Linked DNA regions of Coturnix japonica. The protein of the gene in region 1 purifies or fractionates together with the protein of each later gene. This does not show direct contact. Links are inferred from orthologs where the notes say so. Each region holds a gene or a part of one and is shown on either strand. Other genes may lie near its edges.

Region 1 (4,301 bases):
GCCTGTTCCAGGCCTCACCACTCTCCTAGTGAAGAACTTCCCCTAACATCCAACCTAAATCTTCCCTCTTTTAACTTAAAAACCATTTCCCCGTGTCCTGCTATTGTCAGCCATTTCAAAGAGTTTACTCCCCTCCTGGGTGTAAGTTCCCTTCAGGTATTGAAAGGCTGCAATGAGGTCACCCCGCAACCTTCTCTTTTCTAGGCTGAACAAACCCAAAATGGGTATAGAATCACCCATTTCTTTCCAGTCTTCTGCTGAGAGTGAGAACAGATCACCACACACAGTACTGCAAGTGCAAACCAGCAGTGGTTTGATGCCTTAGCCACAGTCAGCAATACTTACCTGGTCTTTGCAGGTTAAGTGTATCTATCTTCTTAATTGCAACATAGATTGAAACTAAAGCTGGCCAGTGTAGATTTTCAACTATTTAAAAGAACTAGTTGAAAAAGACTCCTCCAGCCTCACAGCTACAATCTGGCAAATGTGCCCAAACTATTTCTGCTACTGATGTTTTTTGTTTTAATAACGATCAAAATTTGCACTATGAAGCTAATATATAAAACTTGATATTTACTTATATACAGGCATTAAAGCTTAAGTGATTGCAAATCTCAGGAACCAATTTCAGAGCGGATCAGCTATGCCATGCAAATTCTTTATGTCACAATTAATGCTGTAACAGCAGATGCAGGATGGCCCTGTATCAAACAAAAAATGAATTACAGACAGTAAAAAGATGAACTCGCAGTAAGTAAATTCTAGAGAGTGTTGAAGTCCTAACATCACTGAGCAGAAGTCTGTACTAGATGATAAAAGTCACTGTGCAATCAAAAACACTGAAGAACATCTCAAAAACACTAAAATACCTTAAAGTTTTAACAACTGTCCAGTTTTCCTTGTTGAGCTGAGCTTCATCTTCATCCTGAAAAGCCAGTGGTTCCAATTCTTTGCTATCATTCAGCTTCCATAGTAAAATAACAGCATCTGTTCAAGAAATAATACAAAGCTTCTTTCTTTCCTACCCATTTGTTAACACATTACATTTAGTTCATTGTTCATCTCACATATGACATATGTAGAACAGATCTTAAATTGTCAAGGGGAAGAGAAGCTCCTAGACTGCCTAAACCTTTTATTTTATATGTAATGCTTTAATTAAAAAAAAAATGAAAGAGAGATTCCCAGGAGTAAGATGAGAGTGCAAGGCTTAACTTTCAGTTTGCTTTGGATTAGAGCTGGCTATGGTTCCGTACATAATGCTTTGTGAAAATCTTCTAGTGAAGAAGGTAACACTCAGCTTCATAGGACACACCCCTACCCACTGCTGTCCTTACTGGGACTGAAGAAACCACATCACCCTGGAGAGATAGGGAGAAACACACAGATTCAGCCACAGCTTCTCACTGTGACACTAGGTAATCCACTCAATCTCCCCTTCTGGAAAACACGTGCAGTTATTTATCTTATGCCTGGAAAACAGCTTCTCAGACTCAGGCATTAAAAGTTATTCAGGATCTAACTGCTTGACAAGCATTTACTGCTTACAGTCACTGGGCATGTAGGAATCTGAAACTGAAAGCGTGAGCGAGAGGTATGAACAAGTTTGTGTGTTCGCTTTTCTCCCTTCAATCACCAGATGCACGCAGAGCTTCTTTTCATTAGCATCACTGAGCACTGTTACTCACCATCAGCACCAGATGCGAGGACTTCACCATTGGGAGAGAAGCGCACGACATTGACTGCTTTGGTATGGCGGGCGAGATTGGACAAGAATTCCACAATAGCTTTTCCATCCGGTCCTTTTTCCACTTTCCATATCTAGTTACAAAAGCAATGCAGGTAGTTTTTGGAAACAAGATATAATCTTGTCTCACTACAATAATTCACTATTTACTCCTTGGACCATCATTCTGAACTTATGATCTGAAGCTTCCATAGGTAAAGCTGCAGTGGTACCACAAATTTTCCCTCTTGGAGCTAGAGGCGTGACTATACTGTAGTATAGAATCATCGAATCGCAACCTTAGAAAGGACCTACAAGATCATCGAGTCCAACCATCCTCCCATTACTGTTGCTACCACAAACCACTAAACCATATCTCGTAGCTCCTCATCCAGACGCCCCTTGAACACTGCCAGGGACACCTCAGGTAAGAGTACATGTCATATTTTAGTTACACCAGAAAACATAAGAGGTGTGAGACATACCCGGACAGCCGTGTCCACACCTGCAGAGGCCAGTCGGTTGATCTTCCCATCAGTTCCGTGCTGGAAGTCCAAACTGTACACAGGCTCCTTGTTGTGCCACGCTATCTCACAAGTGATGACCTTCATATCTTCTAAGGAAACCAGAGCAAAACCCTGCCTAAATTCCTCTTCCCTATGACCACGATTCAAATTAACGTGGATATAGCAAGCACTACAGAAACTGACAGGACAGCAGGTTCAGGAAGATCAGGAAGAGCCGTGATTACAGCGTTAGAGGTTACTGGCAGGGCAGGTTACTGGATCGGGGCAGGATCTGCATCTCTCCCCCTTCTGGGGGAGGCCGACCCGACTCCACACAGCCAACAGAAGCCACTCCCGCCCGCCGGAGCTGCAGGGCTTTAACCGCAAGGAAGAAATTAGGCCGCCCGACACGCCGCTCCGTACCGCACACCCACAGAAAGCATCAGACCCATGGCTGCCCCGCATACCTCTCCCCTCAGCCTCAACCGCTGTATCATCCACCCCCATCCCCATCCCCATCCCCTCTACCTGCAACACAGCCCGGCCCAGCTCCAGCGCGGCTCCACGTTTCCCGCCCCGCGCATGCGCGCGGACTCCGGGCGGGCTCGGAGCTGGGCGGGAAGCTTGGCTGTTACCACAGCGCAGCGAGGCGGCTTTCCTCACAAGCTGAGGTAGTTAAGGAAAGCAGGTCACAGTCGTAGTTATTTATGAAGGAAACACGGCACCCCATCACGTGTTTTTGATCCAGCAAATTCAGGTTTATTTTTTTTTTTTCCGTTTTTATTTTTTACAAAAAATACATTTTGACAAATAAAAAGCATTTCCATCAGTCCGCTGCTCTTCCAAGTGTAAACGTACACTGTAATTTTTCCCGTTTTTAATATAGACTTAACGCTATATTTTATGTCATCTACAATAAACTCAGCTACAGAATCTCATGAAACGTAATAAATAACGATGAAGGAATGGAAACTACACAGCAAAAAAAAAAAAAAAAAAAAAAAAAGGAAATCAGAAACTTTTTAAAAGTCATATTTAAAAGTTATATTACAGCCACCTCTCCAAAAAAACCAAACATTCGATTTAGCCACCATGAAAGCAAAGCAATATTGCATTATCCTTATTGGCGTACTGGAACAGAAAGCATCCTGAAATCAAAAGTACTGCCCGCTGGAAGAAAATGAGCTATAACTAAGTGGAACCTAATCCAATCAAATATGGACAGCTAACAGTGCAAAAGCCAAAACCCTTGGCTTTACAAAAAGGACAATTCCTAATAACAAACACTGAATGCAGTTTTGTGGTTTTTTAATCTTTTTTTTTAAAGCAAAAACTGTTTTTCTTGATCACTGTTTGGATGATGAATACCACCAGAGATAAAAGGTGGGCTCTTCACCCACCCTTTATTCCTGATTACCTCAATGGAAAAAGCATGCAGTTGGCTGAAGAGAATACTGTCACCACCGTAATAAAACAAGTTTAATGGCTTAATAATTACTGTGATAATTTAAGAGGGAAAAAAAGAGAGGGACTCATCTATCTTACCTGTAATAGAAGACACCTAAATATTAAGACAGCATAAACAAGTCACATTTGAACATTTTCAGCCTTAGCTTACTTTGTTGTTTAACACCACAGATAAGAAAACACACCTCTCCTTCTCAAAATCTTTGACTAGATAAGCAAGGATTTAGTAGCCTGACCCATTTACATGCAGCATCACCCACTGCGATTGAAAGGTAAGCTTCAGCCTGAGAGACTCACGGGCAGACTGCTTGCTTTATGCTACAACACTTTTTCCTCTGAGGTAAAATACACAAATTAATTGAATACATCAACGAGCCTCTATGCCAATTATTTTTTGCATTGGGCTGCCCTGAAGTAAGGCCTTAAAGCCTCAAGAGGTGGTGTTACAGCAGAGGTCTCCAGGAATCCTACCCTAGCTTTGCATACATTCTCTCCAATGGACCACCAGCTGCTTTTGGCTTAGAAAAATGGCAGGCAAGAGCCGCATGTGAATACTGACCACTTGAACTCATGTGCTGGAACGTACTGGATTTATAAGCCAG
Region 2 (4,118 bases), on another chromosome or scaffold:
ATGGCTGCCGCAGCTCTTACGTAATTTGAAATTCAGCTCCGCGCACTACGAGCGCCCTCCTCCTCCTCCTCCTCCTCCTGCTCTACCCGGCCGCACCTCCGGGCTTTAATTAAAAAAATAGCTCGGATTTTAGAGCCTAAATCGGTCCCGAGGGGCTGCGGCTCCGTGCGATACCCCTCTGTTTTTGGCACCTAATAAAAACTCATCGACGCCGTTACTAATGGCCGTCTCCGAAATGAGCCGAACGACTCGTCCTCGCCCGAGCTTATCCGCTTCGCCAGCCGCCGGAAACAGCCGAAAGAGGAACGCCAGCCCGTTCGGCTCGCTTCGGCGATTTCCGGAATCAGCCGACACCGACGAAACAGGCGATCGGCTCAAGTTCGGCAATTTCCGGAAAAAAAAGACGCAGAGCTCACCGACTCCCCCAACCCACTCGGCAATTTCCGACAGCGGAAGGGCTCTCTCATAGGTGCCCGAACAGATCCGAAAAGGCCCGAGCAGACCCGAAGCGGCCCGAGCGTCGCTGGCACAGCGCTCCTTCTTTTTTTTTCCCTCTCTCCGGAAATTGCCGATCGCTGCAGCCCGTAGTGCGGGGTTATAATTAGCCGCAGCGGCCCCGCACCCCACCACCCTCGGCGGGCGGGAGCGCGGTACAACACAACGCAGCTGCTCCCCCTCCACCCTCGGCCCAGGCGGGAGGCAGCGCTGACCTGGAGCTGTGCCCGGCGGACAGCGCTGGGCCCGGCCTCGTTCCGCCGGCAGCCACGCAGCGCTCGCCTCCCTCCCGCCCTCCCCTTTCCTCTCACACGCGGCGAGAAAGGGTGAGTGCTGCCGAGTGCTGCTGGGTGCTGCCGCCCTGCAGCAGCGACACGGCACCGGGGCTCCCGCTTTCTGTCCCCCTGCAGCCCCGCTCTGCTCTCCATTAACCGCCAATAAAGGCCTTTCCCCGGGCCCTCTCCCTCCTTCCCTCCCTGGCGGTGGCGGCCATGATGGCGGCTGCCTCCCGCGTCCCGCCGGCCTCCCTCACCCAGTCGCTTTCTCTGTCTCCGCGAGGCATCTTCCTCCTTTTGGACGCCTGGCGCGGTCCTGCGCTCGCCCCCCGTGGGACAGACGTCTTGGCCCCCTCCTGTGCTGGCGGCGACGACGGGAGGAGGTTGCGGCTGGCGCGTAGGCGGCGTCGTTCGCTCTGCCCCGTCAGCCGCCGGCGCGCTCAGCTCGGCCCAACCCGCCCCGCACCGCCCGTCCCGCCCCGCGCCGCTCCCCGCCCCCTCCCCTCCCCCCTCAGCCCCTCGGATGCCGCCGCTGCCGCCGCCGCTCAGAGCGCGCAGGGCGAGAGCCGGGAGGAGACGGGGGAGCGGCGCGGCCGAGCGGCACTGAAGTCTGTATCCTTCTTTTTCCCCTTCTTTCCTCGTCTCGGCGGCACTCCCCGCTCCCACGTTTACTCCCCGCCGACATCCGCGGGGATGGAGCGCGGGGTGCGGCCGATTTTCCCCCCCCCCCCCCACCACCACCAACCCCTATAGCGCGGCGGCCGCGGGAGGAGTGGGCATGGCGGGAGGGCCCCGCGGGAAGGAAGGAAGGAAGGGAGGAGGAAGGGAGGAGGGAGGGCGGGTGGGCGGCGGGGCCGGGCCGGGCAGACAAAGCCGCCCGCCAGCGCCCGGAGCGGCCTCCGCGGCGGGGAAACGTGGCGGGGCGGGGGGTGGCGGGCATGGCGAGGCGATGCCCCCCCTTCCTCCTCCTTCCCTCCCTCCTTTCCTCCTTCCCTCCCGGCGGCCCGCGGGGCTCCGTTCCTTATGGGTTGGGGGTGGGGGGTATCGGGATCGTTCTTGTGGTTTCTTTCCCCTTTCTCTTTCCGATGGGGACGCGAGGAGCTCTCCCGCTCGGCCCTTTCCGCCGCGCTCCCCCCACCCCCCCCCCTAGCGGGGGGCTGAGCCCTCGGGCCCTGCAGGGCCGTGTGCTGTGCCGTGCTCGGGCCTGTGTGCGATCCGAAGTTTTGTAGTTGGAACGGGGCAGGGATGATAACGTGCTTAAAGAGGTGGTCGGTGTGAGAGGTGTGGTGGTGAAGGGGATGGATGGTGTTGGACTCGCTTGCTTAGGTTAAACGTAGCGTGTGCAGCTTAGCCGAGCTCACGTCGGTGCAGGGCCTTTAATTCGTTCAAACTTGAGAATCGGAGGGCAGCGTTGTGTATTAAAAGAAATATTCGCAGTTTGGAAAGCGGTGGGTGCTCTGTTACACTCCAGACGTGGAGCTGCTCCCCGCCGGATCCACAGTTAACACGTCTAAAGCTATATTTGAGTTAACTGCTGGAATCTGAGCTCCTGTTCTGTTGGGTTGAAGGAAATAAGCATCCCTGATGGTCCTCCCCCTTTTCCCTACAAACGTCTCCGTGCCTTAGAAGGCCTTGGAAAAACCTTTTTTCCCCCCCATCTACCACTTCGTTACTATATATCCCGACTAGGTAAAGGTGTGTTACTGGGTTATGCCGGACAAAGCAGTAAGCTGCTTCTTGTCCTGGATTTAATCCATCCTGTAAATGTTCTATGCCGTGAATACATGGGGGTTGGAACAAGGACCATGTTGTATTGGGATGCCTTTCTTTGAGTAACGTCAACTTCCTTTTAATTGTCATGCATTTTTCTAGTAAAAGCTCTGCAAGTCTGCAATAAAAATGGCCTCCAATAAAACTACATTGGTAAGTTCACGCACACCTAAAGTATGTAAGGATTTAATCAACATATTTTTCTTCAAACTTAATAACTTGGCATCTCCATTTAAAAAGATACATCCACATCTCCCCTCCCCAGCATTTTTCTGACCAAAATTTCAGGTCCAGAAAGTAAGGCTACTAGAAAGGACATACTCTTTGGCTTTAACAAATCTGCCATTTCTACAGAGACTTGTTGGGGAATACCAAAAAAAATCAAGGACTGTGCACTATTTCGTCTGTCCTGTTGTAGAAAGCACTAAGGATTTTTTTTAGCCTCCTTTCAGGATACCATGTAATTCATCGTTTATGTAAAAATAAGTAAAATCATGTATTCGTTTGATTTCTTCTAGTCTATTCAGAGAAATAGAAGAACAAACTGAGTAAAGGCGGTCATACAGAAGAAAAATAACATTACTGGGAAATGATGTGGTGTAGTTAAGATGCCCTTTGAAATTATTATTATTATTATTATCATTTTTTTTACCAAATAACAGTTTATTTGAATTTCATAGGAACAGAAATGATCAGATGTCAACCCCTCCTGAACGATTTTAATGACGCATTCATGGTTCTCAAGTCCCTGTAAAGCTTTGCTTGACGTTAAAATATGAACTTCTAAAGGCAGTTGGTTGCTGGAAAAATGATTTTAATTGCCATTCAACTACTTACTTTATATATAAATACATATATATCGATATATATATATATATATACACATATATGTGTGTGTGTGGAAGAACTGAAGGAATATAGCATGAGATGCATCTGAGGTTGAAGCAGGATGCGTGGATACAATTGGACATTTGGATAGCAGAACAACGGACTTATCATGCACTCAAAAGGCCCGTTCTTAAATTACTCCAATGGTTGCTAATTGACCCACATTGAGGCACGTTAAAAACTCTTCTTAACTCCTGGCTTCGAAGCACAGTGCTTATTTGATATTATATGATGGCAAACCGTTCTAAAGATAACATCGAGATGAATGTCTGAACTTTGTTAGCAATTGATTGTCCACTTTTCCCTATTATGAGGAAGAGGAGCAGTTACCAGCCCAGGGAGGGCCTCAGGGAAGGGAAGGAGTCTGCAACTGCAGTATTTTTGCTATTATGTTCAGAATTTTGCTGCAGGTCAGGAAAAATCAGTTATGGTTCCCATGGGAACCGTAACTAATTCTGCTTCATTGCATATTTGAATGCAAAACTTAGATCTATTGGGGGTAGTGTAGCTCTGGAACTGTAATTCTGCTTTTGTTACCTCACGTATCGTGTAACACTCCATCACAACGTCATGTCTCTGTTCTAGTATTGCCCCTTAAAGAAGGAGTCATTACCCATTGAAAGCCATCTCTGTCTGTCGGATGTGACTTCTGAATGGGGAGCAAGCCTCAGATGAGCATCCAGTGCTTAG

The links. The genes of interacting proteins can lie anywhere in the genome.
Region 2: the proteins of CHAF1B (region 1) and CBX3 purify together in Homo sapiens (affinity purification with mass spectrometry; 3 studies listed by BioGRID and IntAct, with this or other methods). This does not show direct contact. The link is inferred for Coturnix japonica from reciprocal best matches to the Homo sapiens genes CHAF1B and CBX3.

What each region holds. Positions count from the first base shown.
Region 1 is NC_029516.1:95,999,420-96,003,720, reverse strand, and holds the start of CHAF1B (chromatin assembly factor 1 subunit B), read right to left. Parts: upstream 2,856-4,301; 5' UTR 2,761-2,855; intron 2,343-2,760; 5' UTR 2,338-2,342; coding exon 2,212-2,337; intron 1,822-2,211; coding exon 1,689-1,821; intron 988-1,688; coding exon 870-987; intron 1-869. UniProt on the Homo sapiens protein: Acts as a component of the histone chaperone complex chromatin assembly factor 1 (CAF-1), which assembles histone octamers onto DNA during replication and repair.
Region 2 is NC_029517.1:29,453,424-29,457,541, forward strand, and holds the start of CBX3 (chromobox protein homolog 3), read left to right. Parts: upstream 1-1,265; 5' UTR 1,266-1,378; intron 1,379-2,642; 5' UTR 2,643-2,669; coding exon 2,670-2,693; intron 2,694-4,118. Other genes in the region: HNRNPA2B1 (heterogeneous nuclear ribonucleoproteins A2/B1), read right to left, coding at 1,028-1,057.